Pelodiscus sinensis: one gene and its partners. The protein of the gene in region 1 purifies or fractionates together with the protein of each later gene. This does not show direct contact. Links are inferred from orthologs where the notes say so. Each region holds a gene or a part of one and is shown in the gene's direction. Other genes may lie near its edges. The genes, in order: SINHCAF, SAP30, BRMS1L and ARID4A.

The links.
Region 2: the proteins of SINHCAF (region 1) and SAP30 purify together in Homo sapiens (affinity purification with mass spectrometry; 4 studies listed by BioGRID and IntAct, counting the BioPlex papers as one, with this or other methods). This does not show direct contact. The link is inferred for Pelodiscus sinensis from reciprocal best matches to the Homo sapiens genes SINHCAF and SAP30.
Region 3: the proteins of SINHCAF (region 1) and BRMS1L purify together in Homo sapiens (affinity purification with mass spectrometry; 3 studies listed by BioGRID and IntAct, counting the BioPlex papers as one, with this or other methods). This does not show direct contact. The link is inferred for Pelodiscus sinensis from reciprocal best matches to the Homo sapiens genes SINHCAF and BRMS1L.
Region 4: the proteins of SINHCAF (region 1) and ARID4A purify together in Homo sapiens (affinity purification with mass spectrometry; 3 studies listed by BioGRID and IntAct, counting the BioPlex papers as one, with this or other methods). This does not show direct contact. The link is inferred for Pelodiscus sinensis from reciprocal best matches to the Homo sapiens genes SINHCAF and ARID4A.

What each region holds. Positions count from the first base shown.
Region 1 is NC_134711.1:106,423,925-106,431,597, forward strand, and holds the start of SINHCAF (SIN3-HDAC complex-associated factor), read left to right. Parts: upstream 1-4,262; 5' UTR 4,263-4,488; intron 4,489-7,673. UniProt on the Homo sapiens protein: Subunit of the Sin3 deacetylase complex (Sin3/HDAC), this subunit is important for the repression of genes encoding components of the TGF-beta signaling pathway.
Region 2 is NC_134715.1:68,329,549-68,337,844, forward strand, and holds the start of SAP30 (histone deacetylase complex subunit SAP30), read left to right. Parts: upstream 1-4,991; 5' UTR 4,992-5,478; coding exon 5,479-5,802; intron 5,803-7,811; coding exon 7,812-7,934; intron 7,935-8,296. UniProt on the Homo sapiens protein: Involved in the functional recruitment of the Sin3-histone deacetylase complex (HDAC) to a specific subset of N-CoR corepressor complexes. Capable of transcription repression by N-CoR.
Region 3 is NC_134714.1:47,686,117-47,693,680, reverse strand, and holds the start of BRMS1L (breast cancer metastasis-suppressor 1-like protein), read left to right. Parts: upstream 1-4,446; 5' UTR 4,447-4,535; coding exon 4,536-4,671; intron 4,672-7,564. UniProt on the Homo sapiens protein: Involved in the histone deacetylase (HDAC1)-dependent transcriptional repression activity. When overexpressed in lung cancer cell line that lacks p53/TP53 expression, inhibits cell growth.
Region 4 is NC_134714.1:11,393,197-11,400,795, forward strand, and holds the start of ARID4A (AT-rich interactive domain-containing protein 4A), read left to right. Parts: upstream 1-4,419; 5' UTR 4,420-4,558; intron 4,559-4,564; exon of another isoform or gene 4,565-4,716; intron 4,717-5,265; exon of another isoform or gene 5,266-5,652; intron 5,653-5,985; 5' UTR 5,986-6,052; coding exon 6,053-6,058; intron 6,059-7,599.

The sequences.
Region 1 (7,673 bases):
AACGGCTGCTCTTGTGCAAAAACTTGCCGTGTGTCTACACTGGCTGCTCATTCTTGCTCAAGTAAACTGACGTTGTACTGTAGAAATCAGGGCTTCTTGTGCAAGAACTCTGACACTCCCTCTCAGGAATAAGCCCTCTTGCGCAAGAGCTCTTCCAAAAGAGGCCAGTGTAGACAGGCAACTTGAATTTCTTGCGCAAAAAGGCCCTATGGTTAAAATGGCCATCAGAGCTTTCTTGCACAAGAAAGTGTCTATGCTGCATGGATGTTCTTGCGCAAAAGCACATGCCAGTGTAGATGTTCTCTTCTGGAAGAGTTTTTCCAGAAGAACTCTTCCGCAAAAGAGTTCTTGCACGAGAAGCTGCCAGTGTAGACGTAGCTGCGGCTGCGTCTAGACTGGCATGATTTTGCGCAAATACTTTTAACGGAAAAGTGCAAAAGCATCAGTGCCAGTGTAGATGCTCTCTTGCGCAAGAAAGCTCCGATGTGCAAGAAAGCTTGATGGTTAAAATGGCCAAGAAATTAACATGGCTGTCTACACTGGCCCTCTTGCGCAAGAATACTTATGCAAGAGGGCTTATCGCTGAATGGGAGTGTCGGAGTATTTGTGCAAGAAGCACTGATTTTGTACAGTACAAAGTCAATGTTCTTGCGCAAATACTCGCGGCCATTGTAGACAGGTGGCAAGTTTTTGCACAAAAGCAGTCGCTTTTGTGCAAAAACTTGCTAGTCTAGACGCACCCTTCAAGTATACTAGGTGGTCTCTGCACACTATCCGCTTAAGTGTTAGGTTTTGTGTAGGGATCATGGAAAGAGTTTTTGAAGAGGGATTTGAAGGTAGCCTGGCAAAGGTTGGGGACAGCATAAGAGAACACTAATGTGTGAAATGTAATGAGTAGGCAGTGGAGTCTGTGGTCATAGACCAATTGGTGATGAGTATCAACAGCTCAATAATAAATAAGCATTTGCAAGCGCAGGCTCTGTGTTCTTAGTTGCACACACAGAACTAATTGTTGCATTTGATCCACTCTGTGCCAAGGAAGGGTCACATTTCTCCCAAGACTTATCAGCTGAAAATGGATCATCTCTTGAATGTTAGGTGTACCTAAATAGCTGGTCCTGCAACTTTCATTAACGTGGATACCCTGTGCTTCTGTGAGTAACATCTGCAGATGTGATTCCTGGATAAATATTTTCCCAATTAATTACACTTCTGCTCAAAACAAACTTTTTCTTTGGTCTTTTAGGTCACCCATCACTTCTTCCAAAAGGAGCCCCAGTTTATTTTTGAATCCTGATCATTTAGCTAAGGAAGCAAACTTTAACTAATTTTCTGTGAAGTGGGTTGTGCCCACAAACGCTCATGATACCATCTACATGTTTTGTTAGTCTTTAAGATGCTGCAAGACTATTAGTCTGTAACTGGAAAAACAACAAACTCAGCTACCCCCTGAATCATTTTATAAACAGTATTTTGTGCCTATGCTGTTTAGTCATTGTAGGATAGAATTTGTTTTTATGGGGGAAATGACATCATAGAATTATCAGGACTTTGCAAATGTGCAAAAAAACCCAGACTATTGTCAAGAATGCAAACAAAAATAAGAATTATTTTAGGTCTTCCCAGTGTCCCTTTGGAGGCCTAATCCTGCTCTCATTTAAGTAAACTGAAGTTTTGCCATTGTCATCAGTGGGAATGGGGTAAGCCCCACTTCAAGAAAACACTTGTGTGTGTATATATATTTAACTTTAAATATGTTAAATGATTTAATAAACTGAAGCTTCCATTATAATTTAAAATGTCACAGGCAGGTTAAAATATTTGTTTAAAATCCTCTTGTTAATTACTAGATCATTAAAAAATACAAATCTGAATTACTTTTCACGTGTCTGAAATTTGTGCCCTTCATCTTCAATAACAAAAACAGGCTAGTTACTTTTGGATCTAGTTGCTCTTATTTTGGTTCCTATACACTGTAATTCAACAACTGCAAATATTGGAAGAGCATTTAAATCCAAACAAAAAATCAGTTTCAGTGAAATAAAAAAATCACAAATTCCATATTAGATTTTGTAATTTTAGTTTTAACAAAAAAAATTGGACATATATTTTGTAATCTTCATTGTGTCAGGATGACTACTGCTTGGTATAGATATTTTTTCATTATTTAAATACAATAAATAAAAACTAAACACATTCACTATTAGGGTGTGTCACTTTAAGAGTAGTTTATAATTGTATTTCTAATTTCATATCACCATGACACAAAGTGGTACTCTATAACCCTGTCACTCTCTGTGGCACCTAGGTCTTTGACGTAATAGCTATTTTTAAAATGAAATCTATTTCAACATAACTCTGCAGATGTTGTAACATGGGGTGGCTGCTACTGAGCTGTCTGTGTGAAGAAGATTGCAAAAATGTGTGTTAATCTAATTTTAAATGTAAAATTGTTTTACCTATATTATTTTTTTAAAAAACATTAAAATTAACGAAAGTCCTTTTCTTCTGCCAAGGGGAATACGTTTTCACTGAATGTGTACATTTTATCACTGCTGTCAAAGGTGCAAAATCAGTCAGAAATGAGTGAAAGATTTGAAAGAGAAAACTTGGGTTATGTTTTGCACAAGGCAAAATTAGGAGTAATCATTAATTTTTTTAAAAGCAAAACATGCTCCTGAGAATTCTAATATTCATAAATGGAAAAAAAACTGCAAAAAAAAAATGCTGAAACTAGATGTGCTGAGCGTATTGCCATGCCCTCTGGCTTGAAGTGGTTTCCATCATATATGGAATTTACAGTTGATTCAATAGCTCTCAGCACCCCCACTATACAATTGTTCCAGCACTCCTGCATAGCATGAAATATGTAAATGTAATATTTAACCTCAGAAATTGTCATGCTGTAGCTGTAGAAAAAATACAAAGTTCACAAACCTAAAGAGAAAGTATTATAAAACAAAATATTTATTTTAAAGGTTTTTTGGGGTAAATCCTATCATAATTATTTGCTAATAGTTTAAACCCATTAACTACTCCACACTCCTGGGCTATGATTAGGGCTCTTCAGCACTATGATACACAAGTAAGAATATTTATTGGATTTATAGAGAGCCACATTCATAGTCTTCTCATTGAATCTGCTCAGTGATGGGCTCACGTGTGTCAAAAACCATGGCTTTTTATGGAAGCCAAACGTATAAATTCCCCTAGAGTTTTTAAACACAGAAGTTGTGGCCAGAGCAACCATACTGCCAGCCCTGACTCACCTCCAACTTTTGCACTGTGATTAAGAAATGTGGGGAGTTTCTCAAAACTATCCCCAAAGTCTTCGGTCTTTGGAACAAAAAACAGGACTATGTTTTAGCTACACCAGACTAACACTAGACTAACATTTCTATCACTATTCGCTCTTTGGGTGATAGTGCTGAGGTTACAGATACTGTGCAAGGAATCTGGCAAAGGTGGGAACCTTCTGCTTTAGTCTATTTCAAACTATGGATCTGAGAGAACCAACTGATCACAGTACAGTATTTACTATTGCTATTATTACTTTCTAGTCTAAGCAATTGCTTGGAAGAGTCTCTGTATTTAAAGGTCTATTTTGTGAAAAAGTTTGGGAACTCTGGCCCAGAGGTGCAAGAATGCAGTTGAGTTCCCGTCTAGCCAGGCCCAAAGAGGACATTCTTCTTTGATAGGTATTATTTTTAGACAGTTTAAAAAGTTTTGACATGGTCAATTCTTTGTCAAATGAGAGTGAGCAAACTGGGATTAGCTGCCCATTAGATAGTAGTGGAGGCTAGTTTTGGTTTCTAAAAGGAAATATCTCAGGCTCCTCAGTTTCTCTTTGTAAACAGGTATCCATAGAGCCTCTGTAATCCCAAGTATCTCGCTTGAAAGATAATCCAAATCCTCCCTCGCAGGCACCGATGTTCCTCTACACATACAAAAATCCACCTCCCCCCCCCCACACACACACACTGAAATGAGTCGTGACTGAGCGTGACATTTGGCAGAAGATTTCCTAAGCAATTTGCAAAGGAAAGCTTTGCAGCACCTGAGCCGGTTCGCCGCAAGAGTACTGCACAGAAGCCGCACCACTCATTGTTGTGATTCCATTTGCTACAATCTCCTCCTACTCCATTGAGAGGAGGTGGAGAGTGGGTTGTTTGTGTGAAGTCATCGCCAACGTCACAATGAGCCGCACCGCCTCCTCCTCCCAGGCTTCCCGCGCGGCCCTTTCTCCCTTAAAAGGACAATGGGGCCCATATGCAAAAGAACTCGATTGAGTAGAATTGAGCCGTGGGAACCACGCTTGCGCAGAAAGAGGGGGAAGAAAGCGACCTATGCAAATGAGAACTGATTCCAGCAGTAGTTGCATGCAGACTCGGGGTGCAACACAACGAGGTTGCGTACTCCGCGAAGGAGGGGGGATTCATCGCGCACAACGCACCACGCTATTGATTTGTTGGTGGCTGCAATTCAGTGGTAAGTGATTTAATTTTTCTTTCTCCGCCTGCGATGTTTTTTTTTATCCAAGAAGTGAGAAACGTCTTTGGTTTCAGGGGATTTTTTGCGTTTACCAACCAGGCGTTTTGTTAAATAAAACAAGTTTTTGGAGGCTCCCTTTAGCTGCAGGGCAGCCACATTCCTGTCCGAAACAATTTTGACACACGCTGACCTGTGTGCGGCAATCTATTTTTCTTCCTTTTAAAAAATAACTTAAGACCTATCAATTTAAAACTTATATTGTGGCGAACATGCCGCTTGCATTGTTCCAGATCCAGTTCACCCGGGGACTTTCCTTCAAGTGAAATCAAAATGTTTTCTTCCGAAGAGAGAGGGCGAGTTAATTTCTGAAGAAAAAAACTAGAAAAGTGATCCCAGGCAGTGCGGTTGGCTAGAGAAGCTGTATGTCCAGATCAGGATGTTATCGGGAAATATCAGTGTAAGGGACATTCTTCCAGGAGCCGTAGTAAGGGGGAGTGTATCAAACCGTCGCTTAGTGAATGTTTTGAATGGCTCAAGACTCTTAGTGCTCTCTGTAACGAGGTGGAGGCTAGAAAATGTAAAGTTCCTTCCACTTCGTAGAGTCATGTCAAGCAATTTTAAGAGACGGACATGGGGTTGTTTGGTTTACTTCTTGGGGTGTGAAGTGGGGTGAGATTAGCTTGGCCTGTTGCGGGTGCTGCTTCCCAGGTCCGTTGCGGCCCGTTACTGTATGCACGCGGTTGGGCATTCTTTGCTCAGCTTGGGCGAGAGATGCGGATGTCATGATGAGAAAAAGAAAGAGAGTCCTGGCGCCTAAATCGCTCGGGATTCCAGAACCGAATTGAGTTTGGAAGGGTTAAGAGAGAAATGTTCCATTTTCGAACGTTCTCCGGGATCTTGTACGTGTTGTGTTGCAGATTATACACCTGTGGCTTTGTTTTTGAGCGCACAGAAGTTGTTGCGTCGTGAGTGGCAGGGGGCAATCCATTGCAACGGCAATGTACGTTTTCTCTTTTTTGTAAGGGCGGGAGGGGAATAGGGAAACTGTTCTCTTCGACTTGTTGGCTTGTTTTTAGAAGAGATGTCGAGATTGCACACTCCAAGTAATCTGAAATGGACAGGCAGTGTGTGCAAGCTGACGTGACACGTGCTACTAGGTGCGCAGGCTTGCTTTCGTTTTTAATACCCTTTTTCTATTGTAAATACCTTGTTATCGAAAAGAGGTGTCCTTTTAGCGTTAGGATAGGGCGATTTGATAGTGATGGCGTCTTGCCATTTTCAAAGCAGAGGGCGAGCGAAAGTTAACTGCATTTCTTGTCTCCTCTTTGTAGTTAACATGTTTCCGTGTAGAATCCAACGCAGTTTAACTTCTAGTTAAATTATCCGTTTCGCGGGGGCTTGTGTGTGTTTTGTCTAGTTGATCTTACTAGTTAGCGTGATCTTTAAATCTAGTGCATTCTACAAAACAGTCCGACCTACCCTTGATGCCGCACGTAGGCAAAACCAGGCTGAAGGGAAAACAAAGGGCTTGCATGTGCTGCAGGCAGTGCTACCTCCGCAACTGTGTCTGCAAGCCAGTCGGCTCACCGAAACTCGGGCTGTGATTAAATAACGAGGGGACGGCTGGCGGGAGAAGAAGGGGGGGGGGGAGTTGTTGCGACAGGTTTCGTATCTTGGGGAAGTTTTGAGCTTGACTTTTAGTGCCTGGAAGACTTTGGGGGAGTTAAAGTTTAGGAGCGTGCACGCTCCTGCAAGGTGACCATGCTGCGTGCATGGAGGAGCAGGAGTGTTTGTGTCTACAAGCCGGCGGGAGGAGGCAGCGCCTTTCACTCCGCTGGGTCTACACTGCAGCGGATTCCAAGCTACGCCGGGTACCGAAGGCGGCTTGGCTGGGGGTGGCTGAAGACCTTTTTAAAGGTTCTTTGCACGGCGTCCTCCCCCGGGTGTGCGCGTGTTTATGGGAGGTCTGCAGGTTCCCCCTTTGAAGTGGAACTGTTGCCATGTTTGAATTACGTCAGGGGGAAGCCATGAGGAACCAGCGGCGGCAGCTCGGTGCAGGGAGAGGTGAAGGCAGGGCCCTGCTGGACACCATGAGCGCGAAGCGCGCGCGTGTGCACCACTCAGGAAGTGCTGCTGAGCTAGATGGTGGTGCACGGTGCAGGGGGGGGGACGGGACGATTTCGCCCCTTTTGTTCTGGCAGGCAGCGCGCTGCGGTAACTTTCTCTCGGGATCTTGGCCGGCGGCGGGTGCCCCTTGGTGGCTCTCATGCAGCCAGCGCCGGACAAGACCCGCAGCCAAACAGCGTGCGATAGGAAAGTGAGTGTCACTGGGGCGTGCGGAAAATCGGTGCCCGCCACTGTGACCCCCGATTGCTCACCACGCCTTGCAGCCGGCGCTGGGAGGGGGGGCGGGGATGCGATGTCCCCGCCGGGGTGAGTCCTGGGGGAGGGCAGACCTGGTTGGTTTAAAACCTACTTCAAGGCTAGTTCAACGGCATCCGCGGCTAACGCGCTCAAAGGCTCGGGCCGCCTGTTCCCATCCCCTGCACACAGTGCTGAGCTCGGGGCCCCGCTTCCCGGGAGCGACTCCTGCCTTCCATGTCGCCCCGGTGCTGAGGAGTTGGGAAGGGAGCCTCGCCCTGACTAAAAGGCGAGCCGCGGCGTTTTCGCCGAGACCTCGTGACACGCACTGTTTTGCAATGTGCTCTCCGAAACCACCGCCTGCCTTCCCGTAGCGCGCCACAGCCCGCCGGGCTTTCTCCTGGGGCGCATCCTCGTTTGGGGCTTGGTCACCTTGGCACGCCTACGCCAGAGCGTGCGGGTGACCCTCGGGCTTGTCCACCTGATCATCATGGCCTCTCTGAAAAGTAGGTCGTCCTTGCGGAGGTGACTGGGGGTGGGTGGTCTTTGTTCCAGCAGGCAGTGCGGTACAGCTGCTGCGCATTGATGCTGAATGGCCCTCTGCTGTTTTCCCCCTGCCTCTTCCCAAGTGGCCTTTTGCCTTAAGTTTAGTTCCTCCCTGACTCGGGTCGAGCTCAAGGACAAAACTTTGCCAGGATGAACCTTTCGGTATTGGCACCAGGCAGACTGCAGGTTAAACGTGTCATGAAATCCTGGCCTGGCTGATACCAATGGGAGGCCTGTCATTGACTTCGGTGGAGCTACGATTTTAGCCCTGAGGA
Region 2 (8,296 bases), on another chromosome or scaffold:
AGAATGTGACTGTCTTCCATTTCTCTCTAAAACCACTAATAGATAATAGTGGAAGGAGGAGAGAATTAAGGATCTCTTTGTTTACTATGAGATGATCTGACATCACAGTGATGAATGCACTGTAAATATATACATATATAGTTCTTTTGTCAGATCTAAGATCTTTTTCAAAATATGTTGATCAAACAGGTTTCATTAACCTGTAAGTTAGTCAGACTTATTAGATACAGTTCTGTGTTTTTTTTCACGAAGAACATTTAAAATTAATGTCTAAAATAAATGTCTCCCAGGGAAGCTACAGATCTGTAGTTATCACAAAATTCTACCCTTGCATTAGCAGGAAAATACACAACATATCATGATGGTGCCAGACAGAAGGACAATTTTGTGAATTGCTCTGTATGCCTGCCTGTTAAGATGCGTAAGTGCTCTCAGCTAAGCCTAGTGCTAGCTCAAGGGTGGGCAATAAGTCAGATGCTGCTCACCAGAGTTAGCTCCCACAGATTATCTGCACTTTATTTACCTGCATGCACCTCCATATGTACAGCTGCTCCCGTTGGCTGTGGATCACCATACCCAGCCAATGAAAGCTGTGGGAACCAATGTCCTGGTCCATGTTGCTTCCATTGGCCATGAAAGGTAATCAGTGGTGAATGGGATCTTCAAGTGGCTGTACCTGTGGGTGGTGCAGGTAAACAAAGTGCTGGCAGCTCACCTGGGTCTAACCCTAATGAATCATGGGATAATTATTGCCCACCGGTGTGCTAGCTGGTTCAGCCCTCAGGTCAGCCTTGTTTGGTTTACCCTAGGATTTAAGTTCAGCATCAGGGATAGGTCAGTGCTCAACACATATGCTTGCAGCTGTCATCATTCCTGTGTTGTCTTCTTTCTAGCTATACTCTCGCCTTGTTCCTGTCCCACTTCAGTCTGCTGAGGCTCTGCTCCCTTGGATGGTTCCTGATTCAGGCTCTGATCCTTGACTAATTTCCTGGTTCCTATTTCTGACTCTAGTCACTAAGCTGGGCTCTAACTTTAACCAGGTCAAACTGCCCACATACTGGTCTCTGATATGGCTTTTCTTCAAAACATGGTCATTAAGATCATCTTAACTTTCTTCAAACTTCATCAAAGAAATCCTGTATTTTTGTAACTGAAATTCTGTCAGCTTACCCATCTCACTTTCAAACTCTGACCCCATATATTAGCTAGGGATGTGAATGGGTAACCACTTAATCAGTTACCTGATAAGCACCCTTATCAGGTGATGCTTACTGAGTACCAATTACTGCAGCCCAGCAGTATTAGCTTCACCCTGAGATGCCAGTGCCAGTCCCCTACCTCTTAGAACCCCCCCCCCCCCCCCACCTCCAGAGCTCTCCAGCACTAGCTCCACCCCCATCACCTACCCCTGCATTGCCTCCCAACCACCAGATGAGCACTGCTGCCCAGGTCATAGCTGTTCTAAGGCTGCCGTGCCAGGCTCCATGTGGCCCTGCCTACCATGCAGCAAACTGCTCTTCTGCATCCAGGAGACCCTGCCCGTCCAGTGCTGGTTGGCTGAAAGGCAGGGCAGGATACACTTCTCCCAACAGCCACTGTGGGGGAGGTGAGGCACTGGGTAGTATACTCCAGCCCTGGCCTTCAGAGCTGCTATGGACTGCCAGTTGGGAACCACTGTACTAGAGTTACATAGCTTCCTATTAACTCTGACATATCCCTTCTATATAATATGTCTGCATGCCCAATTGAATTTCAGTTGTTATATAACTGCAATAATTTCAAATTCCAGTCTAGGTAGGACCTTAACCATATTCTGTAATATTAAGTTATATAATCATATTAAAATTCCATGTGTACTACAGACTGGAACAGTGCAACTAGACTGGCATGATTTTGCGCAAAAGCGGCCACTTTTGCGCAAAATCTTGCCGCCTGTCTACACTGGCCACGAGTATTTGCGCAAGAACACTGACTTTGTAATGTACAAAATCAGTGGTTCTTGCGCAAATACTCCAACGTTCCTGCTCAGGGATAAGCCCTCTTGCGCAAGTATTCTTGCGCAAGGGGGCCAGTGTAGACAGCCACGTTAATTTCTTGCGCAAGAAAGCCCGATGGCTAAAATGGCCATCGGAGCTTTCTTGCACAAGAGAGCATCTGCATTGGCACAGATGCTTTTGCGCAAAAACAAATCTTTTGCGTAAAGGCACATGCCAGTACAGACGCTCTCTTGTGCAAATACTTTTAACAGAAAAACTTTTCAGTTAAAAGTATTTGAGCAAAATTATGCCAGTCTAGATGCAGCCGAACTGTTATAATCCAGTTTCCTGACTCAGAATCCTAGGCTACATCTATACTGGCAGCTTCTTGCACAAGAACATTTGTTCTTGTGCAAAAACTTGCTGGGTATCTACACTGCACACGCGTTATTGCGCAAGTAAATTTACAGTACAGTGTCAGAAAACAGGGCTTCTTCCAGAAGAGTTATTCCTCTTCCCACAAGGACTAAGCCCTCTTGCGCAAGAGGGCAGTGTAGACAGGCAACATGAATTTCTTGCACAAGAAACCCCTATGGCTAAAATGGCCATCAGAGCTTTCTTGAGCAAAAAAGCGTCCACACTGCCATAGATGCTTTTGCGCAAAAGCACATGCCAGTGTAGACACGTTCTTGTGGAAGACTTTTTGCACAAGAACTCTTCCACAAAACAGTTCTTCCGCAAGAAGCTGCCAGTGTAGACGTAGCCCTGGGCTACGTCTACACTGGCATGATTTCCGCAAAAGAGTTCTTGCGCAAAAACTCTTACAGAAGAGAACGTCAACACCAGCATGTGTCTTTGCGCAAGAGATGTGCTTTTGCGCAAGAGCATCCGTGCCAGTGTAGACGCCCTCTTGTGCAAAAAAGCTCCGATGGCCATTTTAACCATAGGGCTTTCTTGCACATGAAATTCATGTTGCCTGTCTCCACTGGCCTCTTGTGCAAGAACAGTTGTGCAAGAGGGCTTATTCCTGAGTGGGAGTATCATAGGTCTTGAGCAAGCAGCACTGATTTCATACATTAGGTCAGTGTTCTTGCGCAAGAACTCACAGCCAGTATAGACAGGCAGCAAGTTTTTGTGCAAAAGCGGTTACTTTTGCGCAAGACTGTGCCAATGTAGAGACAGCCCTAGCGTATACAGAACATGTCTTCTCTGATCACCCCTTGATCTGGCACTCCACCTGTTTTGATTCAGTAACTATTGAATATGCTGTAATTAATACAGCTGAATGAATGTTTCAATGACCTAGTTGCATTTAACTATTTGATTCCCAATTTCACAGGGCTTTAAAATAAAAGCTATATCTGAGAGGAAACTCATTACCATGGACTTTGCAAACACATCAAGAAAAATAGGTCAAAGTTTGGCTCTTCATTCTATCCCTCTACCAGGGAGAGCTGAACTGTTGGATGCTTATGTTTATTAACCTTATGTACTTTTGCTATACAGTTTAGAAACTAGGTTTTGAACAAGAGCTTTCACCCTTTGTGCTCATTACCTCCATTTTAATTGTTCCTCCTGTTGAAGGCAGGTCTGAGTTAGAGTATTGTCAAGCATGATAGAGAGGTCATTTACAATTTAATTGTAAGTTCTGGAAACTAGTGATAGGGAAAACTGTTACAGCAAAATAAATGGTCCTACCACCAGGAAGGGAGATACAGGAAAAATGCTGGCTAATAAATGAACTAAGTTTGTTACTACCAAAGCCTTTTTTAATAAAATATTTACTATAAAAACATTAACTCTTATTCTTCATCCTGTATGGTGTTATCTAATTGCTTTCCAATGTTTATATATCTAAAGCTATCAACAACACAAAGAGCAAGGACCAATTATTCTCAGTAAACACAGGCAAAAATCCCAGGCTAAGTTTAGAGCTGTCAGCCAGCTCTCATTTGAAGAGGTGCCACCCCAAGTTCCTTGTACCACTCCCGTCCGAACCACCCGTCTGCAGTTGAGGGGTGAACGGGACATGTAGTCCAGCCTTTATCCCAAAAGAAAAGAGTCACAAAAGGAGAGGAAAATAAGATTTTGCAGAAACGCCTAAAAGCCTGCCACGGCGAGCTAGCTCTGTGCGCCATGGCAGGCAGGCCTGGGGGGAAACGCGCTCACCAACGGCAAGCCACGCAGCTGCAACAACACGCTCCGAGCCCTCCGGCTTGCAGCTGCTTATCCTGGCACGCAGCGCCCTTGTGGGAGACAAAACCCCACCGGTGGTAAACTAGGGGCAGGGGAACCGCTTTTCTCGCGTCCCTGGACGCGCGCAGCAAGGGAGCTTTGCAGCCCGCCCAGGCGTCCGCGCGCAAACATGGCCGAGGCGAGGGGGAGAGGCGACAACGCTGCCTGGTGGTACCAGGCGTTTCCCCGCCTCTCACGCAAGGCCTCGCTCGCTCCCCCAATATTCTGCCTCGCAGCATCTCCCCCCGGCCTGTCAGACCAACCCAAGGGGGCAGAGATGGGGCGGGCTGGGCCGAGCCGCCTTGGCAGCGGCGCTGAGGGATATGGGCGGGGCTGGGGCGAGCGGCTCCGCTTCAGCTTCCAAACAGGCGCATTTCAAATCTCAACGGCCGCTCGGACCGTCCTTTGAGCGAGAAGTGGGCCTAGCGCAGCGCGGAGCCGCCTCCTGCGGTCCCCGCCCCCTCGCGAGGGAGACCCAGGAGGAGGCTGAGACGCGGCAGTTCACTGGCGAAGAGCTCAGTCACCCCCTTTCCCCCCGCCCCCATCACATTGCAGAGGGGAGGGGCGGGCTTACAAACGTCTACAGCGGCCCTCCAGGCCCGCAAGCCCGGCTCGCGCGGTGCATTTCAGGGGCTGTAGTTTTTCAGCCCTCCCCGCCCTTGCCGACGCTGCAATGATAGAAACTACAGCGCCCATGAGCCCCTTGAGGCGGGAGGCCGCATGCGCATCGCGGAGCGGAGCCGCAGGCTGGGTGCTGCTGTTGTTACATAGGAAACAGCTGAAAAGTCTCCACATGACAGAGGGGGAAGGAGGAAGCGGGGTGACCCGGGGGACGGACGTGGCTTTTGCAGAGTGAGGCGCTTGGCCGCCTTTGGGAGCCCCCCAACAGCCTAGGGCCCCGAGTGGAGGGGGCCGAGCAGCGATCTCGCTGTGCCCCTTGAAGGAGCCCTTGTGTGCCCTTGGGGGAGGGGCTGTGCCCCCTGTTGCGGGGCTCTGTCTGCCGGGGGCCACGGGGACGGAGGTGACCCTCAGGCCGGGAGGAGGATCGTGCCCCCTGCAGCGACGCTGCCTGTCGGGCCGATTGCTGATGGGGCAGGTTTAAATCCCTCCCTTGCAGCCAAGCGCACAGACAGCGGGGAAGTTTGATTCAGCCCAGGCGGCGAGGACGGATCCTGCTCCTCTGCCGGACAAAGGGGCAGCGCAGGCGGGTGAGGAGCCCGGGCGGGTCGGCGATTTCTTCCGCCGGGATAGGGACGCTGCTGGGGCCATGAACGGGTTCGCCCCCGAGGAGGTGACCCAGAGAGGAGGGGAGGCCGCTGCCGCTACCACCGTCGTTGCTGCTGTTGTGGCCAATGCAGCCGCCACCGTGGAGGTGCCGGCGCCGGGATTAGGTCCCGGCCCTGCCGCAGGTGCCGCCGCCGCCGCCGGCTCCGCGGGGCCCCCTGGCGCTGCGGGCCCTGGGGCCGGGCAGCTGTGCTGCTTGCGAGAGGAAGGAGAGAGGTGCAGCCGGGCCGCCGGCAACGCCAGCTTCAGCAAGAGGATCCAGAAGAGCATCTCGCAGAAGAAGGTGAAGATCGAGCTGGACAAGAGTGTAAGTGAGGACTGGAAACCCGCCGCCGCCGCTGTGCGCCCCTGGGGCAGAGACAGGGTGTCCCGGGGCGGGCGTGAGTGGCAGTCAGGGCCGGGCCGGCCGGGGAATGCGCCCCTCTCGCATTAGGGCAGGCAGTGACGGCTGCTCCTGCGGGGTCACCGGCCCGAACGCCCCCAAGGGAACGAGCCCAGCCGCTGGTAGGAGCTCCCCCCAGGTGTGGGATCGGGAAGCGACTTGCGGGTCCTGTTGTCTCTCTTCACGCGCCGCGTTGCAGCTGTCCGGGAGCACAGCACAATCCCTCGCTCGCCCCTCCCCGGAGCCCCACTCCGGCCTTAAGAGTCTTTCCCGCACAGGCTTAAACTCCCTCCCTCCCCTTCCCCCCCGTGAGTGTGAGACTTTAGGCAGCAGCTTCTTTGCTAAATCGTTTGAGGTTTGCCCTTGGTGCGGTCAGCTGGAAGAGTGAAGCTTAAACTGCTTCTGTGCAGTGATGGGGGATAGGAGACTCCTCTCATCTTCCCTTCTGCTCCCTCCGGAAAAATCAGGGTGGCAGTCCGGAGAGAGGCCGTTTGTCCGGCTGCCCCCGTTTGCTGGGAAAGCTGGAGGCTGCACTCCCCTCTCCCCCGGCCGCCCCTCCAAGCTGTTCCAGAGCAGGGACTCCATGCGTGTTTGTGTGGCTGACTCTAGTGAGAGCAGCACACTTGGCCGCTCCGCCGCCTGTTGTAATGCTGCGCGTCTCTCTTGGCCACCGTGTCTTCCGTTTGGCAGCCATCAGGCTCTTCGTACTGCTCTCTACGAGAAATCGCCACGAGCGTGTGTTACCGTGTGCAGGCAACACGAGCTCCTGGCTCCCTTCCTTGGTGTGTGCTGAGAAATAAATACCCGTTGGTAGCAGATACGTTTCGAAGATCGGGAGCAGTGTTATCTGCAGAGCAAATGTCTGCCGGCTTCCTTCTCTAATGAATACTTGTTTCCTCAGTCAGAAATGCACAAGTATTTGCCAAGGCGATCTATTTTTACTTCACAGAGCAGAAATGTTAGGAGATGCTGACACAAAGAAAGGTTCTAATACACTTATTGCACTTACCACCCACAAGAGATTGAGTAAACTCATGCTGATTGGAGAAAAATGGTTGCTAATTTATATTTATGCTTTTGTTGGCTGTTGTGAGCTTTCTCTTGAATCATGGTTTATGAGAGAGCTGGTGAAGTAAACTTAAAGCCTATTGTAAATGGGCAAAAAAGCTCTTCTGCATTAACAAAAGGAAAAGCTTAGGCCCCCAATTTTTTCTGATTATATGTTGAATTAAATTGCATTTAGGTTTTTCATTTGTTTTTATCATCCCAAATTTAACTTTCTAAGTGCTTGATTGCCATCCTCCTCCCCACAACCTGTGCACCCACAGCTCCAATCATCATGTGAGATACTGATGTACAGTCAGTAGCCCTATGTGTATGTGTATATTTTCTCTGTAAAAGAAATTCACAGATTTTTAAAGATACTTTGTCACCGCTACAGGCCTTTCCTCTCAAAATGAGCTTGATTCCTACAAAAAGGAAAATTTTAAAACTAGACATACACATACTTTATTTACAATGCGTTTTCTTGGATGGTGGAAGCAAAACCAAGGAAGAGAGTTGTGAAGTGAGATAGCAGTTCATTTAAAATAATTGCAAAGTAATTTTAGCATCCTATTTCCTGTATTCTGATGAGTAACAAGAGAGCTGTACTTGGCTCTTTCTACAGCCTGTTAATACCAACTTTGAATTGGTTCACTGCAGTAGTACAATGATAGGAGGGATTTTTTAAGCCAAATACGTGTGGTAACTTTCAGCATACCAAATTTTAAGTATGGGTTCTGGTAGAAACAGCTTTCTTAAAGTCATAGGTAATGTCACCAGAGCTTCTTGATGGATCCACTTCATGATAAATTACTACAAGTATAATTTACATTATCATGTATTTCCTGGATGTGGATTTGTATTTAAAACATGCATTGCTACATTTTTAGGCAAGACATCTTTACATTTGTGACTTCCACAAAAACTTAATTCAGAGTGTGCGGAACAGAAGAAAGAGAAAAGGCAGTGATGATGATGGTGACTCACCAGTGCAAGACATCGACACTCCAGAGGTAGCTGAACAGTTGTCCTAGAAGTTGTCATATAAAGCTTGTTCTTAATTGCCACCAAGTCTGTTAATACAATTTTTCCAATTTTAATTTGTCCAAGGACTGGAAGAGAGCTCTTTTTTCACTCCATTAATGTATACATAATATTTTAATATTTATGTATTATCTTTAAGAATATTATAATATATTAACATATATAATTTAATAAATGTTTTAATTTTATTGTATGCATAATAATTTTCCAAGAAAGGAAAGTTGGAATTACATATATCAATTTTAACTTTGATAAAAATTTCTCCTTCATGACATTTTCTCCACAGATTCCTAATGTAGATGCCATGTGCTTAGCCAGGCAGTAGCAGAAA
Region 3 (7,564 bases), on another chromosome or scaffold:
CGCCCCGTTCCCACAGATCCTGCATCCCAAGCCTACTACATCCTATTCTCGCACATGCTGTTCTCCTACCTTGGCTGCAGCAAGCTCTAGTGCTGAGGAGCCTGATCCAGTCAAGGTTACTGGATCTGTGATACTGGGGGATGGCAGAGCACTGAACGCTTTGGCCTCCTGCTGATGCTGCAGACCCTGATGCTGCTGGTGGGCGGTAATGTTGGGCCCAGTCGTGCACCATCCCATTTTTGTGTACATAGCCTCTTCCAGCTCTGAGACCAGGGGACCTGCCCTAGATGTGGCCGTGAGGATGTCACCTGAGCCTGAACGGTGTGGTAATTAGGCTACAAGTGATGCAGGGGCCACATATTGAGAACCACTTGTTAGACAAACACCTATCAGGGATGGCCTAAATAATACTTCGTCTTGCTTCAATGCAGAAGCCTGGATTAGATGACCTAGCAATGTTCCATTCTGGTTCTGTTTTTACAATTGTACATATAAAACTGGGAAACATCACAAAAGCTCCTTTTTAATTTTGTAGAACTTAACATGTACAAGTATATTTCTTCTACTTTCTGAGATTGACAATGGACATATTTTCTATCTTTTTTCAAGGCCACAAAGCTTGTTCTTTCCACTGAGGTGGTTTAACTAGTCCTTCTCTCAACCATAATTATGACATTATTAGTAGTAGTAGTAGTAGTACTAGTAGTAGAAGTCCAAAACACTGCAATAACATTTTTGTATGATGTAGTGTCCTGGAGCATTACTGTGGTATGTTTCAGTTAACAAGCCTTTTGGATGGGCAACTAATTGCTCAATTTACATGGTCTTTGACAGGATTGGGCAAAAGGGCCTCTGGGGGCCAGATCTGGCCCACCAAGCAGGTGGATCTGGCCTGCGGAGGCTCTGCTGCTTCCCCGCCCCCAGGCCAATTAAGGATTTGAGATGGGGGAGTGCCCGATGCCTTTTCCGCTCTGCCCCCGCCCTGCGAACAGCGTGCGGCAGGGGCAGAGCGGAGAAGGATTTGTGTGATCCCCGCCCCCAGGCCTTAATTGGCCTGGGGGCGGGGGAGAGCATGAAGCCTCCTCCCGCCCTGCCAGAAGCATGTGGCTCTTTGTAGCGCTATATGCTGCTCACGGGGCGGAAGAGGGGGGATGGGAGAGAGCAGAGGAGACTTCGTGCACACCGCCGCCCGCAGGCCAATCAGGGCCTGGGGGGTGTGGGAGCTGCATAAAGCTTCCTTCGCCCTGCCCAGCCTTGCGAGGAGCCCAGGGCACTTCATAGTGTCATGTGCTCCTAGCAGGGCGGGAGGAGGCTTCCTGTGCTCTCCCGCCCCTAGGCCCTGATTGGTCTAGGGGTGGGAAAGCATGCCAAGCCTTTTCCAGGGCATGGGTGCCTAGTGGGAAGAGGGGGCAAGGGGCTCCTCCATCCCCAGACCAATCATGGTCTGGCGGTTGGGTAGCCCTGCCCCTTCCCATTTAGGCCACATTCAAAAACGTTTGCAGTGGCCCCCGGGGAAAAATTATTGCCCACCCCTGGGCTTTGATCAATACTATAATGGCCTTTTACTTATCTGGTGTAGACTGGTGAACTAGCTGAATTTGGATTAGGCCATGGGAGAAGGGAAAGCAACATGTATAAGGGAGGATATTTGAAAAGCAAGAATGTGTTACAGAAGATTGACAATGGAATAGAGAACCCAATTATGAGGTTTTTAGATTCCATAGCAGTTGAATGTTCCTGGCTGAGAGGATGAGCTGCTTTCTGAAGATTCTATGGTGGGAAAAGAGAAGCAGTAGATTTCAAAGCAATAAAATATCAAAGCAATAAAATGTAATTTGATGGTATTTTGTAACCATTAATAAAGTATTTTATTTAAACATTGTCTTTGCTAGGAGGGTTTCCCTTGCATAGGTATACTAAACTTAGTTAAATTGCAAAACCCTCTTGTTTTTTATCTGCAATTAGAAGCTTTGCTGGTATAGCTACAGCTGTACTAAGGTTTTTACCAGCTGAGTTATGTAGGCAAAAATTACACCCCTAACTAACATAACTATGATGGGAAAACTTCTAAGTCTAGACCAGGTCTGTTATGTTTATTTTTAGTTACATTAGGCAGTTCACAAATACAGAGGATAAGGTAGTTTAACATTTTTTTTGTATTATTGAATCGCTTATTATGCATCAGTCTAAATACAACAGGATAGGAAAATGTCTGATTATTGGGAGATTAGTTTCAACAGCACTTCAGACTCCTCCAACGTATCTAGGTGTTCAGTTTCCAAACATGTATATCTACATAGGCTCATCTCTTGGCGCATGTCTACACAGCAGTGTTAGTTCGGAATAACTGACATTATTCCAAAATAACAAAGAGCACATCTACACTATTAGCCTTTATTGTGAAATAATGTCGAGCTGGAGCACTTCTTACTTCAACTCTAATAAACCTCATTTTATAAGGAGTAAAGGAAGTTGAAGGAACAATGTTCTTCCTTCTACTTCCTGCTGCGTAGATAGCGCCTAAAGTTGAGCTAAGCTATTTTGATTTAAGCTATGTAATTGATGTAGCTGAAGTTGCGTAGCTTAGTTCGACTTTAGCCCTGCTGTATAGATGTACATACTAATCCAAAGGAGAAACAGACAAGACAAGAAGTATTACATGAGTCAGAAGATGGTGATTTTTTTTCTTTTTGCTTTAGTGTTTGTTACTTTTCCTTGTCATCCTTCCATGATCAATGTGTTTTAGTACTTGTGGGCCTCATTAATAAATGTAATAATTTACACTCTATTACAGGTCTTTCTAGCTGCAGTTTAATAAAACAATGGTTAGTAAGTCTGTCACATACTTAAACCTTGGTTTCCTATTTACTACCCATCCCACCAGCTATCTGCAGTTGTGATTTGGAACTCTCTGTGTGAGAACCCCTGCTCCAGCTGATGCTAAACACTTCACAAAGTATCTTTGAATACATCCCAGTCTCATTTAAGGAAACATTAATCTCTGAAATTAATAGAGAAATGTTGTATTGTGGATTCTTACATGGATCCCATTGTTACAAAACTCTTTTGACATCTTGCCTTATTAGTGTTCTAAAGTAGAGGAGGAAAGTCTACTTCAGTTTCTCTGGTATGTATAGAAAGGTATTATGTAATTCACAATGTTGTGGGTAACAATTTTAAAGAGCAGTGAAATACATAATGATTAATGTGGATAAAAGAGCAGAGCACTCCACTTTAAGATAAATAGGTGAAGGTGAGTTTCAAGTTATTATTAATTATTAATTAATAATTTAATTTAGAAGCTTGAATGCTTGTCCAAGACTGATTGTCTCAGCGGAAGTGAAGCCAATGAAACTCTTGGGCCTTATCCCCAGAAATGCAACTTATTCACCATTGAAAAGTTGTGTGCATGTATCTGTGGAAAAATATGGACCTTTTATTTAAGAGCAAATATAAAACATAGTTTGGGTGGGGAGAAGAGACAGCTAGCTCCTAGGTGCCCGTTCCTACTTCTCATCTGCCCAAAGTTTTTTCTTCTGAAGGTTCAGTCATCTGTGTCCCTCTTCTCTAGTTTTTGACCTCCATCCTTGCTACCTGCTTCTGCTTCCTTCCCAAGGAGTTTATCAGTTTTGAACAAACCACCTGGATACCTCCATTATTCAATCATTTCTTATCTGAACCCCAAATTTGAAGCTGTAGAGATTTAATCTTATGTCGTGGCTCAGCCTAGGATATGCCATGAATTTTTGTGATCTGTCTAGTTCAGGTATAAATGTATTAGTTAATCTGAAGTAAAACTTAATTAAGTAATTGCAGATAAAAGACAAAACAATACCAAAAAACTCCTTGTAAGCATTTTGGAGAATTACGGTTTGAATAAACTGAAGTTTATATATATATATATATAGTATAATGATCTTTTGTGGGCAAAACCCACTTCTTCAGATGAGATGATGAGAGGATCTTGAGTGGAGGGAAAAAAAGGGGATGTAGGGTTCTGATACTCTATGATCATTTGCCCAAGTGCCAGTCAACCAACCCAACCATTTCACGCTGTCTTCATCCAAGGCTGACAAGAGCTGCAACCAGCCGAGGGCTGGCATATTCCTAGCTCTAATTCATTAACTGTAACAATCGAGAAGTCTTTCAATTAAATCAGCACCTTTGCTGCAAAGGAGATTCCATGGAAAGATGGAAATTCCCTAATTCAAAGTGCTCACAAGCCTCAGCCTGGCAACTCCGCTATCTAATCCATGTCCATGAAGCCACAGCGAGTCTTCTCCAGATTAACTACAATTACCATAGTGCTTCGCGCAACGGCCAACCACACCAACTGCGTTCGGCGGGGGACACGCCCACTCGGGCCAATATGCACCAATAAGCGGCGCGAAGAGCCATGCGGCAGGCACTTGGGTTGCGTTGTGTGGCGTGCGGGAATGGCGCGGTTTTACTGAGGGGCGGGCAGGGGGAGGAGCTGCCGGTGGTGGCGGCAGAGGGAAGGGCGGTCCCGGCGCTCGGCGGCATCTCGGGGGAGGATGCCGGTCCATTCCCGGGAGAAGAAGGAGAACAACCACGATGAGATGGAGGTGGATTATGGGGAGAACGAGGGGAGCTCCTCGGAAGAGGAGGAAACTGAGAGCTCGTCCGTGTCCGAGGAGGGGGACAGCTCAGGTACCGGGGACCAGGGGCTGATTACAGATGCTGGGGCAGGGCGGCCGCTCGCTCGCTGGATAACGGTGCGCGCGGGGTGTGGGTGTAAGCGACTGTTAATGCCTTCGCCACAGTCTGCCCCAGCCCCCACCCGGCAACATCTGACCCCGCCCCTCCGTACGGCACCGTCTGCCCCGCCCTCCCGACACGCCCCCCCCCCTCTCCCACGGCTCGCCCCCGGCTCCCCTGCGCTGCAACTTCCGAATCGCTCCTTGGAGGAGCCGGGGCGTGCAGCCCCCCCCCCCTTCCCTGCTGGGCAACTTGTGACACACACAACCCTTTACTGGGGGCTCGGCCTGCCTGTCCCGTCTGCATGGTAGCTTGTGGATACATCCCTTCTCCCTTGTATGGCAGCGTATGGGTCCCTTCTAGCTAAGGGAATGGCCTTCCCCTTCTTCCCTGCTTGGCTGTTTCTGAGGCGCTTCTTTTCCCAAGGATACCTCCCTGCCCGCCGTTCATTCTCTTTACCTCGTGGTCACATGCTGTGCTACCATGCTCCCTCTGCATGTCAGTTTCTTCTTGCCCTATTTGCCTGATGTGGGGGCACTTTCCCTTTCTGGCAGTTTCTGACATATGCCCTTCCTGACATATGCCCTCTCACCTTCATCCTGCTCCTTCCCTGTATGACAGCTTTTCCTTATCTACCTTTCCTTGATTTAGGGGGTCACTGTCAGCTTCTTTGCCCATGCCCTGCATAGTACCTTCTCCTCAATCCCGCACCCCCACCTTTTGATATGGGAAGCAAAGCGCAATCTCCCCTCTCCATTTACTGCACTGTAGCATCTTGTCCCCTCCCAGGAGTGTGTGTGTGTGTGGGGGGGGGGGAGGGTATATTTGCCAACTCTTGCATAATATTGTCTTGTTCCCCATTTAAGGCTTTTTGAAACTGTTTAAAGAAACTCTAGATAACTTGTTATGAAAAGTTCCATAGAAAAGACTTGCCAAAGAATAAGTATAAATTTTAAAATACCACATATCACAATAAATATCCGTTAATAGTAGTGGTGGTCCAGATATGAAATGCACAAGATGGGTGAAGTGATGTCTTTTATTGGACCAACATCTGTTGGTGGACAGTACAATCTTTCCAGTAATACAGAGCTCTTCTTCAGGTCAGGAGAAGGACTTCAAGAGTGTCTGAGCTAAATACAAGTTGGGACAGACAAGCTTAGGGGTTAATGAATAATATATGCCTTCCAGCAACATAAGTTGGTTCAATAAAAGAAATACCTTAGTGTCAATTTTTCTGTTGTTTTTTAAGTTACTGTATTGCTTCTAATAAGCAAAAAGCGAGGTTGAGTTAAATAGCAAATTCTGCTTTAAAGCAAGAGAAGGAGGTTTGGCTAAAATGACATTTTGATAAGCTCACAAATTATTCCCAATTCTTACCTTCAACTTCAGCTGCTTTATTTTATCAACAGTTGTCTGGAAGTTAGATAATCAATGCACTCTATGCTTGAGAATCAAGATTCCTCCAAGCTCACTCCCTTGAGTTTAGAAATGCTATATTAGTGATGGATGTCAAAGTCACAAGTTATGTTCATCATTCCAGTATCTCAGTTTTGGCCACATTTTATAGAAGAGCTAGTTCAGAATTTTACTGTTGGCGCTGTTTTTACTATCTCCACCTTTAAACCAGGCTGCTCTAATTACCGTGTGTGCCCCCCCCCCACTCAGTCTTTGAATGGAGAAGAAATTTTAGAAACCTATCCAACTTACCAAAACAATTCTGCCATGCGTAAGTGATGATTTTTAATGTCAGATACCTTGTGGTATCCCAGGTCTAGAAACAAATGATCTTGTGAAATGAGGGATTTGATATCCCTGTCTCTAACTTCTTGCATGATGGGTAGTGAAATATCTGATACTAAACCAGTTACTTTTCTAAGACTGACTATTACCCATCGTGCTTGTCAAGTTTATGCACCTTCAGGGAAGAAATATCACATTTTGGGAGTTGAATATAATAAACTACTGGCAGTATTTTTAAAGATACTTTGTAGCTATTTGGAGTTTTGAAATGTTACCAATAATCCTAGTGGAGATGGATTAGTTGGCAGAGTGCAGGTGAGGTAGTCAGAGGTTCATGATAAATCCAGGTGAACATGAGGGTGATTTCATGTGTGATTGTATAAGTGAAACTCTGTCTTCTGCTTGGTGGAAAGTCAGACTTGCTTGAATATGTATGTATGTATGCAGCTATAGAAATGGAGGGCCTATGGTTGTATTAGTTGCAGTTGGAGGAGGGTACTATTCTCCCACATCTCAAGGTGGTGCATTCCACATTGTAGCAAATGACAGGAGTACACATCTAAGCAACCCAGTATGCTGTGCAGAAAGGAAAGGGTCCAGAGAACCACTGATTCTCAGGCATGATTGGAGTTGATGTTGCTTATCTTGATTTAAACTCCCTTGACATCTGTTTATAAAGTAAACAGCTGCTGATTAATTTAAAACAAAGCAATAGTTACAAAAATACTGAAATATATCTAGAACCTAAAACATACTGGAGACCCATCTGAATAATGGAAGATATTTTAACACCTTGTTTGCCTTTCTACTTTTGTGAGGCAGACCTCCCGAGGAGTAAATTGATGGGGTAGTTATATTAAGGATGTTAAAAAGCGGGTAACTGACTAATCAGGTAGTTGATACAATTTGTATCGACTACACGATTAGTCAATAAGGGGCCCTGAGGCTCTGCAGTTTAAATATGATAGGAGCCAGGTGTGCAGGCAGCCCAGCTTCTATTGCATTTAAACTGCAGAGCTGTAGTGAGGGATTGGTCTAGGACCTGGCGTGAGCCTCTGCCTCCCCGCCCCTAGCACTGTGGAGATGGTGCTGGGGGAAGTGG
Region 4 (7,599 bases), on another chromosome or scaffold:
TGCCACATGATCACAAAGAATTTATTGAAAAATCCACATCAAACACACACATCAGTGTTTGTGCACATTTATTCAATCTCAGATTAAGTTACCTATGCAACTTTACCTCCTCTTGCATTCTTGCTGCAGCACAGACAAGATGAAGACATCTGTCAAAAAACTTAAGAACTGAAAAAAACTCAACTAATTGTCAGGTACAAGAAAAACTATGGAAGCACTTTACTTCCGATTGGTAGAGATAAATCACTTGTAAAAACTCAAGATAGGAGACGCTAACTCCTCTATTGCAACATTAAGGTAAAAGACTAACAGGATTTCTCTTCTGCCATCCCAGTGAAATAATTTTAGCTCTGAAATTGTGTGAAGCAGTTTTATAGTATTGGTTTGCTTCTTATCTAAGAAAAACTAGAAAATAAAGACAAACCATGTCCCTCAAAGGTGGATGCCAGAATTTAAGCCGCCAAGTAGGTGTGGCCTCTGTTTTAGATATTTTGAACACTAACAAATCCAACCCCGGGTAACAGGAAATGCAGTTGCTCAGCACCAGCTGTTACAATACACAAGTGAGTATGTTTACATCCAAATCAAGCAACAGAAGACTTCTGAAATTCATGGTATGTGCGGTACATATTTTAATTGAATCAAAAAATTTTCTTCATGAGGCACAAGTTCATTTCTACCAGATTAAACAATTTGTAGTAAGAATCAAGATTAGATGCAAAGACATTATAATTTTTAAAAGCTCAAGCTTTTAGAACACATCTTACAAGCACCAATATTGGCCCTCATCACTAGTTTACATAGCTTGCATACAGAATTATGTAGTAGACTGTTTTCCTCAATTCATGCAACATACCTCCATGCATTCAGAAGTGGCAAAGATTTGAAAGATCTGCAGTTATATAGCAAAGTGGGTTTTTTGCTTTAAAATAAAAACATACAGAAACAAATTGTAGAACCCACCAGAAAGTCTTTTAAGTAGGATGGCCTAAAATGTGTGTGTGGGGGGGGGGGGGAGGGGGGGGGGTTAGGCCTGAACACAAAAGTGGAAATCTAAAAAAATAATTTAAACAGTGGCATTGCTTATAGAAGTCTCTGCTAATATAGCTATAGAGTCCATAATCAGTTCAATAAAAAAGAAAGCATATTGTGTAATTGTCCAAGACAGCAAAGCTCCAAGGAGTAACTAAAGGAAAGCTTCAGAAATTTGTCCTAATTTGATTTCTCAGTTCTTTGCCTCATTTTTAGAAAGTGAGGAGGGGAACAAATTGTCCTGAGGTAAGTGAAAAGTGACAAAAACCAAAGTCCCTTATCCCAAATGGTCAGATTTTAAAACAATGACATTCAGCCTGCAGAACTGTTAGTAGATAAGGGGGAGGGTGCTCACTACTCCCACTGCAGTTCTGCAGTTTAAGTGTAGGAGAAGCCTGGCATCCCAGCTGGCACCACCCCCAGGAGTTAACACTGCTGTGCCAGGTGGCTCTTCCTACATTGAAAGGGCAGAGCCTCATTGCCTCCTGTTCCCCTCCATGACAGCGATGATGCTAGGGAAAACCAGCTTTTATCCCCTACTGAAGTACCTAAAGCATATCCAAACTATGCAACACTGCCTAACTAGGAAACTTTTCCTTTGTCAGGTCTTGCTAATGCTTCAGATCCAATACAAACCAAAATCTTTAGAACAGACTTGAAAGCTGGTTATTAGGTATCAAGCCCCTCTGGCAGCATTCAGCATATAATGGTCATCTCTGGAACTCTGATCTTTCTATAAACTCTGCATGGTGAACTCCTGCAACCAGAGCCCACTGCAAGATGGGAGTCTAAAGCACTAGACAGAAGGTTGAAGGAGTGTTCTCAAGTCAAGTTTATTATGCAAAACATTTAATAAAATTACATTTAGCTCTCAAGCAGGTTTAGTGATGACAGCACTTCACATTATAGCTTGACTTTCAGTTTAGTGCTTTATCTATTAAAGTTAATATATGAAGCCATAAAATGCTTTACACATTTAAAAGTAAAGTAAGTTTATTTTTAAAAAAATCTACTTTGTTGGAATTAAATATGAATTGATTCAGGTAGCTTAACAGGTATACACATGCACACAGCATTTTGCAAGTTCATTGACTACATGGACAGCAGCCAAAAACAAGTTACAGAACTACACTAGAATGTTACAAATGCCTCAGGAATGTATGTTGTTGCTAACTCTGAATAAAATGTTTGTGTTTTCAAAAGTTTACAACTGATTAATACAGCTTTGAAAGTGTAATATGCAGATGGAATGCTACTTTTAACTACCTTAATTTAAATGAAGAGTTCTCTTTGTATTTTTTTATTACACATTCCCTTTAGTAGTTTATGTTTAATACAGAGCATAGTACTGTATGGTGTTTTTTTGTTTTGGCTGCTGATTGTGTACTTTCAGTTCAAAATGAGGTGTGTGGATGACTACTGTCAAAGCAAAAGGTTCTCCCTTCAGCATAGGTAATCCACTTCAAGATGCAGTAGCTAGGCTGACAAGAGAATTCTCCCATGTCTATACAATGGGTCAAGTTGGTGTAACAACACTGCTCCAAGGATATGGATTTTCACACCCCTGAGCAACAGAGTTATATGGATCTAGTTTCCTGGTACACAATAAGTGTTAGTGACCCCTAATAAAACGAGTCAAAATAATTCTGGTGTTTCCAAGGAAATGAAAGTGTTCCAAATAACCAGTTTATGACAACATTCACTCCAAACTTGACTTAAGGGTGCAGAAAATACAACCTTTCATTTCATTGCCATCTAAAGAGTATTAGTACAACTAAGCTGTCTGCTCTGTGCTTCTCAGGATAACATGGCTGTGCCACTGCAGCAGAACCATGGTAAGCTGCACTGTACAGCTGCTTTTTATCATTTGAGAGCCCTCTCCTACTGACACAATAAAACCACTTCCAACAACGGGTGGTAGTTTTGTAGCAGAAAATGCTGCCACCACCAATGAAATGGTGCCCACATGAAGACGTTTTTCCATCATTAAAACTTTGTTCAGAGTGAAGTTTCACACTTCTAAGCAACAAGAGCTTTAACAATGAAAGTACCAGTGTAAAGGCAGCCTAAGATGTCAGTTCAGTTCCTTATCCCAGGAACAACCCCCACCCCAATACTCCTGGCAGCAACACCAAATTAGGGTAGCTTCCCTGTCCCTACCCTTTAACAACAGTCAATGACGTAAACATGAAAAGCCGCACCGCTTGCTATTTAGTGTAGAGGAAACTGAGCTGCCTTTGGACTGGTCAAAAGCTCTCAGCCCCAAGAAAAACGGCCTCGGAGGCAAAACACGCTTCCCCTCCCTACCATAAGTATGACTGAGACAGCGCACACGCAACCGCCCTGGTGCCCTGGTTCCAAGGGCAACACGTAGGAAACTGGCCGACAGCACGTGCAATAACGCGGCTGCGTCTGAAACCAGCAGCTGGCGAGCTCCCAAACCACCACTATGCCCGCGGGACAGGCAGCTCCTCCGAGCTCTACCCACCCTCTCGGAGCCGCGCGCCGGCTGCCGCTGGGGCGCTCCCGCCCCACGTCGAGGTGACGAGCTGCAGCTTTCAGCGTCCACGCGCTCCTGGAAGCGCAGCCGGGGGCTGCCCGCGCGCTCCAGCGGCGCCGCGGCCCGACAGGCCTCGCTCCCCGCCGGGGCGGCGAACCCCAAGCCCCACGGGGCAGCGCCGACCGGCTTACTCCGCCGCCTCCTGGGCCCAGCCAGCACCGCGGGCGGCTGCCACCTCCCCTCTCACCGAGCTCCTCCTCTGCTGCCGCCGCCAGCGGCTCCTCAGAGGTCCCTTCACTTCCGGGGTCGGCCTCGCCGAGCTTCCCCCTCCCCCAGCTGCTGCGCCATCACCGCGCTGAGGAAGGGAAGAGGCTCCCCCCTCGCTACTAGTCCAGCCACTTCGCCGGCCGAAGGGAGAGAAGACGGTCTGCAGCCGTAAGTCCCACGGAGCCCCGGCCGCCCCCTCGCCCTTGGGACGAGGGCAGGCCTCCCCCCCAGAGAGCGCAGAGACCACTCCCGCTCCCGTCCTCCCCGCCTAAAATGGGAAAGAACATCGTACAAAATGGCGCCCGAGAGGCCCACCGCGGCGCATGCGCGGTACGCAACTATGCAACCGTCGCTACTGCAGGCTTCTAGCTCCGCCTCGCCCCCGTTGCATTCCTATGAAGCAGTCCGCACCAATCACATCGCCCCGCCTCTCTTCCTGGCCCTCACGCTGGCCAATCGTGCAAGGCAGAGCTACATCCGGATCCAGTTTGCACCAATCAGCGTGAGGCAAACGATTACTTCACTTCGGAAATTTCCAATTGAGTCGAGTCCCCCGGATTCACCAATCAAAAGTCTCCGTGGCTTTACCTGCGTCGGCTTTTGACCAATCGGCTCTCGCCGTTACCCTGTGACCAATGGGAGGGGGCTGTGCGCGGCGCCCAATCCGGGCGGGGCAGAGCCCCTGGGCGTCACGAAGGGCCAATGGGAGTTCGAGCAAGGCAGCTACTGCTCAACAGCTTGTTATTTGGCTGATCGCTGGTGAGTCGGTGCGAGTCCGGGCTGGAAGGGGGGTGGAGCGGAGCGGAGCCGAGCGGCCGCTGCCTCTGCCCACCGCTGTCTCTGAGGCGCCTGGCGCGAGCGGGGCTGGGGGCCGGGCCGGGCTCGCGGCAGATCCCGACTTGGCTCCGAGTTTAAAGGTAGGGGGGGGGGGAAGGGGCAGCGAGCGGCTCCGCAGCCGCAACTCTGCTGCCGTCCCGGGGGAGGCAGAGCGGGGACCCCTCACCCGGCGGATCGACGCCCCCCTCACTCAGTCACGGAGGAGGCCCCCCCCCCGGGGGAGCGGGGACTCCCTTCCCCCGCCGAACTTCCACCCCCGCTCGCCCGGCGATTCCTCCCCTCTCTGGCCGAGGACCCCCCCTTCTCGGCCCGGAGCACGGGGGCGCCCCATCCCCCGAGGACGGGGAACGCCCCCCTCAGCCCCTCCGGGCGCGGGGTGGGCTCGGCAGGTTCCCCTCTCGGCTCTCCCCTGCTCGGCTCCCAGGGACCTCGCTTCCCCCCCGCCGGAACGCCCCCGCCCCTCGCTCCCGGGGAGCGGGTGCTCGGAGGGGGGCCCGGCAGCGGCGGGGTTTGGGTCGTGTCTTGGGTCGAAGGGTATTTGCGGGAGGCGGGGAGGGGGGCTCGAGCGGTAGCTGGGAGGCAGGGGCTGTGAGGAGGTGTGTGTGTGTGGGGGGGGGGTCTGGAGGGTAGTCGGGGAGGCAGCGGGTGTGTGTGGGGGGGTGTCTAACTCCTCGGTCCCCGTTTATAGCCGGAGGAGGCGGGGTGGAGAGGAGAGGGTCAGGTCCTTCCTGAGTAATCTCTCCTCTTGTGCTTGAGAAAGTTGAGAGGGGAAGAAGGCGGCCAAGGGCCTTGTCTCTGCTGCGCAGGAGCTGCCCTTGTCCCAGCAGCTGGGCTGCGAGCCGCTTACAGCTCCAGTGGAATAGTAGTAGTAATATTATTTTTGCCTGCGTTGCGTGTGTGTGGAGCCTCTTCTTGCCTGACATGGTGCAAAGGCGGAGGGAGCAATGGCGACTTGTCCTGACACACGGAGGGGCTGAGGAGCAGCAGGAGGCAGCCGAAGCGGGACGGAAAAGGAGGTAGTAGCGGCTCCTTGCCCAGACCTCCAAGGGCCCATTTGTTCCCAACAAGGACCCCTTTTCAGCACTTCTTGCTATCCCCTCCAGCTGCACATGCAGGGCAGCAAGTGGGGCTCAGAGGCTTCCTGTGGAGGGAATTCCTTTAGGGATGTAAGGGGTGGGTGTGCTCCTAGGGTGGAGGGAGGTGTGTGTATACAATGTGGAAGAGTGTGTTTAATAATCTACCATATGCTTGTAGCTGAATTGCAGCTTTCCTAAGATCAAGCTGTTTCCTTTTAATAATTTTGTAGGCTGGCAGACGTGTCTGATCATCTTCCTTCTCTTGTTTTCTAGGTTTTTTTCAGTATAATTAGGGTCAGAAGATATCTTTGAGCTGGAATCCCTCAAATAACCTTCAAAGATGAAGGTAAGTCTAGGTCCTTGGATGGAGGAGGAGGGGGAAGCATTTGTGCTCTGTCTCTTCTACTTGAACCAGCCACTGTATTTTTAATCACTGCATCTTCATTGAACAACAGCAAAGTAAAAGTTGGCTGTGGAAATCCACACATGTTGAATGGAATGAAATCCCATTTCTTCACTCTCAGTGCAGGGCACCTAATCCCAATCCCTCACCTCTGTGGTAACACTACTCTGGACACATAAGATGGCTTTGACTTGTCACTTGGAGTACTATTTTTAAATGCTTCCTGTGTTGGCTATAGCTTTTGTGAGTTTGCAAAACCACAGTTTTTATCCTTCCTTAGCAGTTTCAGTTTTTACAGTGCAAAGACAGCTTACCAGTTGCAAGATCAGTCACATGGAGGGAAGCACTTCTTGTATGCAGAGATGAGCAAAAATAATTTGAACACAAAATATGTCATTGCATTTCTTCATTTCTTGATTGTTTTTTACTGTGACTGTTTTTTTTTAAACATAGTAATGTAGAAATAAAATGTACAATAATAATGTTCAGGTACAGACAGATGTTCTTAAAATTGTAAGCTTGCATATCTTTTTTAGAAAAATAAATCTTAACAAAGACCTTGCAAGGAACAAAAATTACATTTGATACTTGTTTGAAAGGTTATAGCAAACTTTTCTGAGGATCTGTTGCTGCTGTTTTTCCCTTCAGAAAATCTGATGTGGAGCACACCATGAACTGCCTTTTTTTTTCTTTTTTTTCTTCCTCACAGAAAAACCAGAAATCTAAAGGTTTTGGTTATTGTATGTATTTTGAAATTGCAGCTGTCTGAGGTGCAGCTTCCATTCCAATTGAAATATTGCTTTTCTGTAAACAATACAATATGAATGTATTAAGTTGATATTCATCCTTATGTTAATGTTTCTTTCTCTATTTGTAAACATATGCTTCAGTTCTCTTTGAGGTTATTGAACAGATATTCCTGAGACAGTCGTCAGACTGATAAAATTGAGGGTCAGAATTCTTTGAGCAAAAAATTTACCCATAAACTCGGTGTGATGTAAGCTTTTTAGCCAGCCAAATACACTGACATTTACTGGCAAAACTGATGTATTTCTTTGGGCCATAGTGATCTGTGTATGCTGCAAAATAGTGCAACAAACCATAACTATTGTTTGTTCTTATTCACTTTTCATCATCAGTTATTTAAATTCTTTTTTTTAAAGTTGCTATTTTAAATAGCATTTCAGTATTTAATGACTATTAGTACATTCTTGCAAACTGGGGACATGAAAATAATTAAATGTGAAAAATCTTCACCACTCATTTTACTTGCACTGTCAAATCTTGTTGTAAAGAAAGATAAGGCTGTGTGCAATATTGGGAAGCAGCATAGAGCATTATTTATGACCTAATTAAGAAATGGTCAACAGGACTAAAGTTTGGGTGTATATTTGAATACATGATGCAACTATAAAGACAGTTATTTTACGAAATTTGCTTTCGTGACATATAAGCCTAAATGTTTTTCTAATTTATTCTCCTTT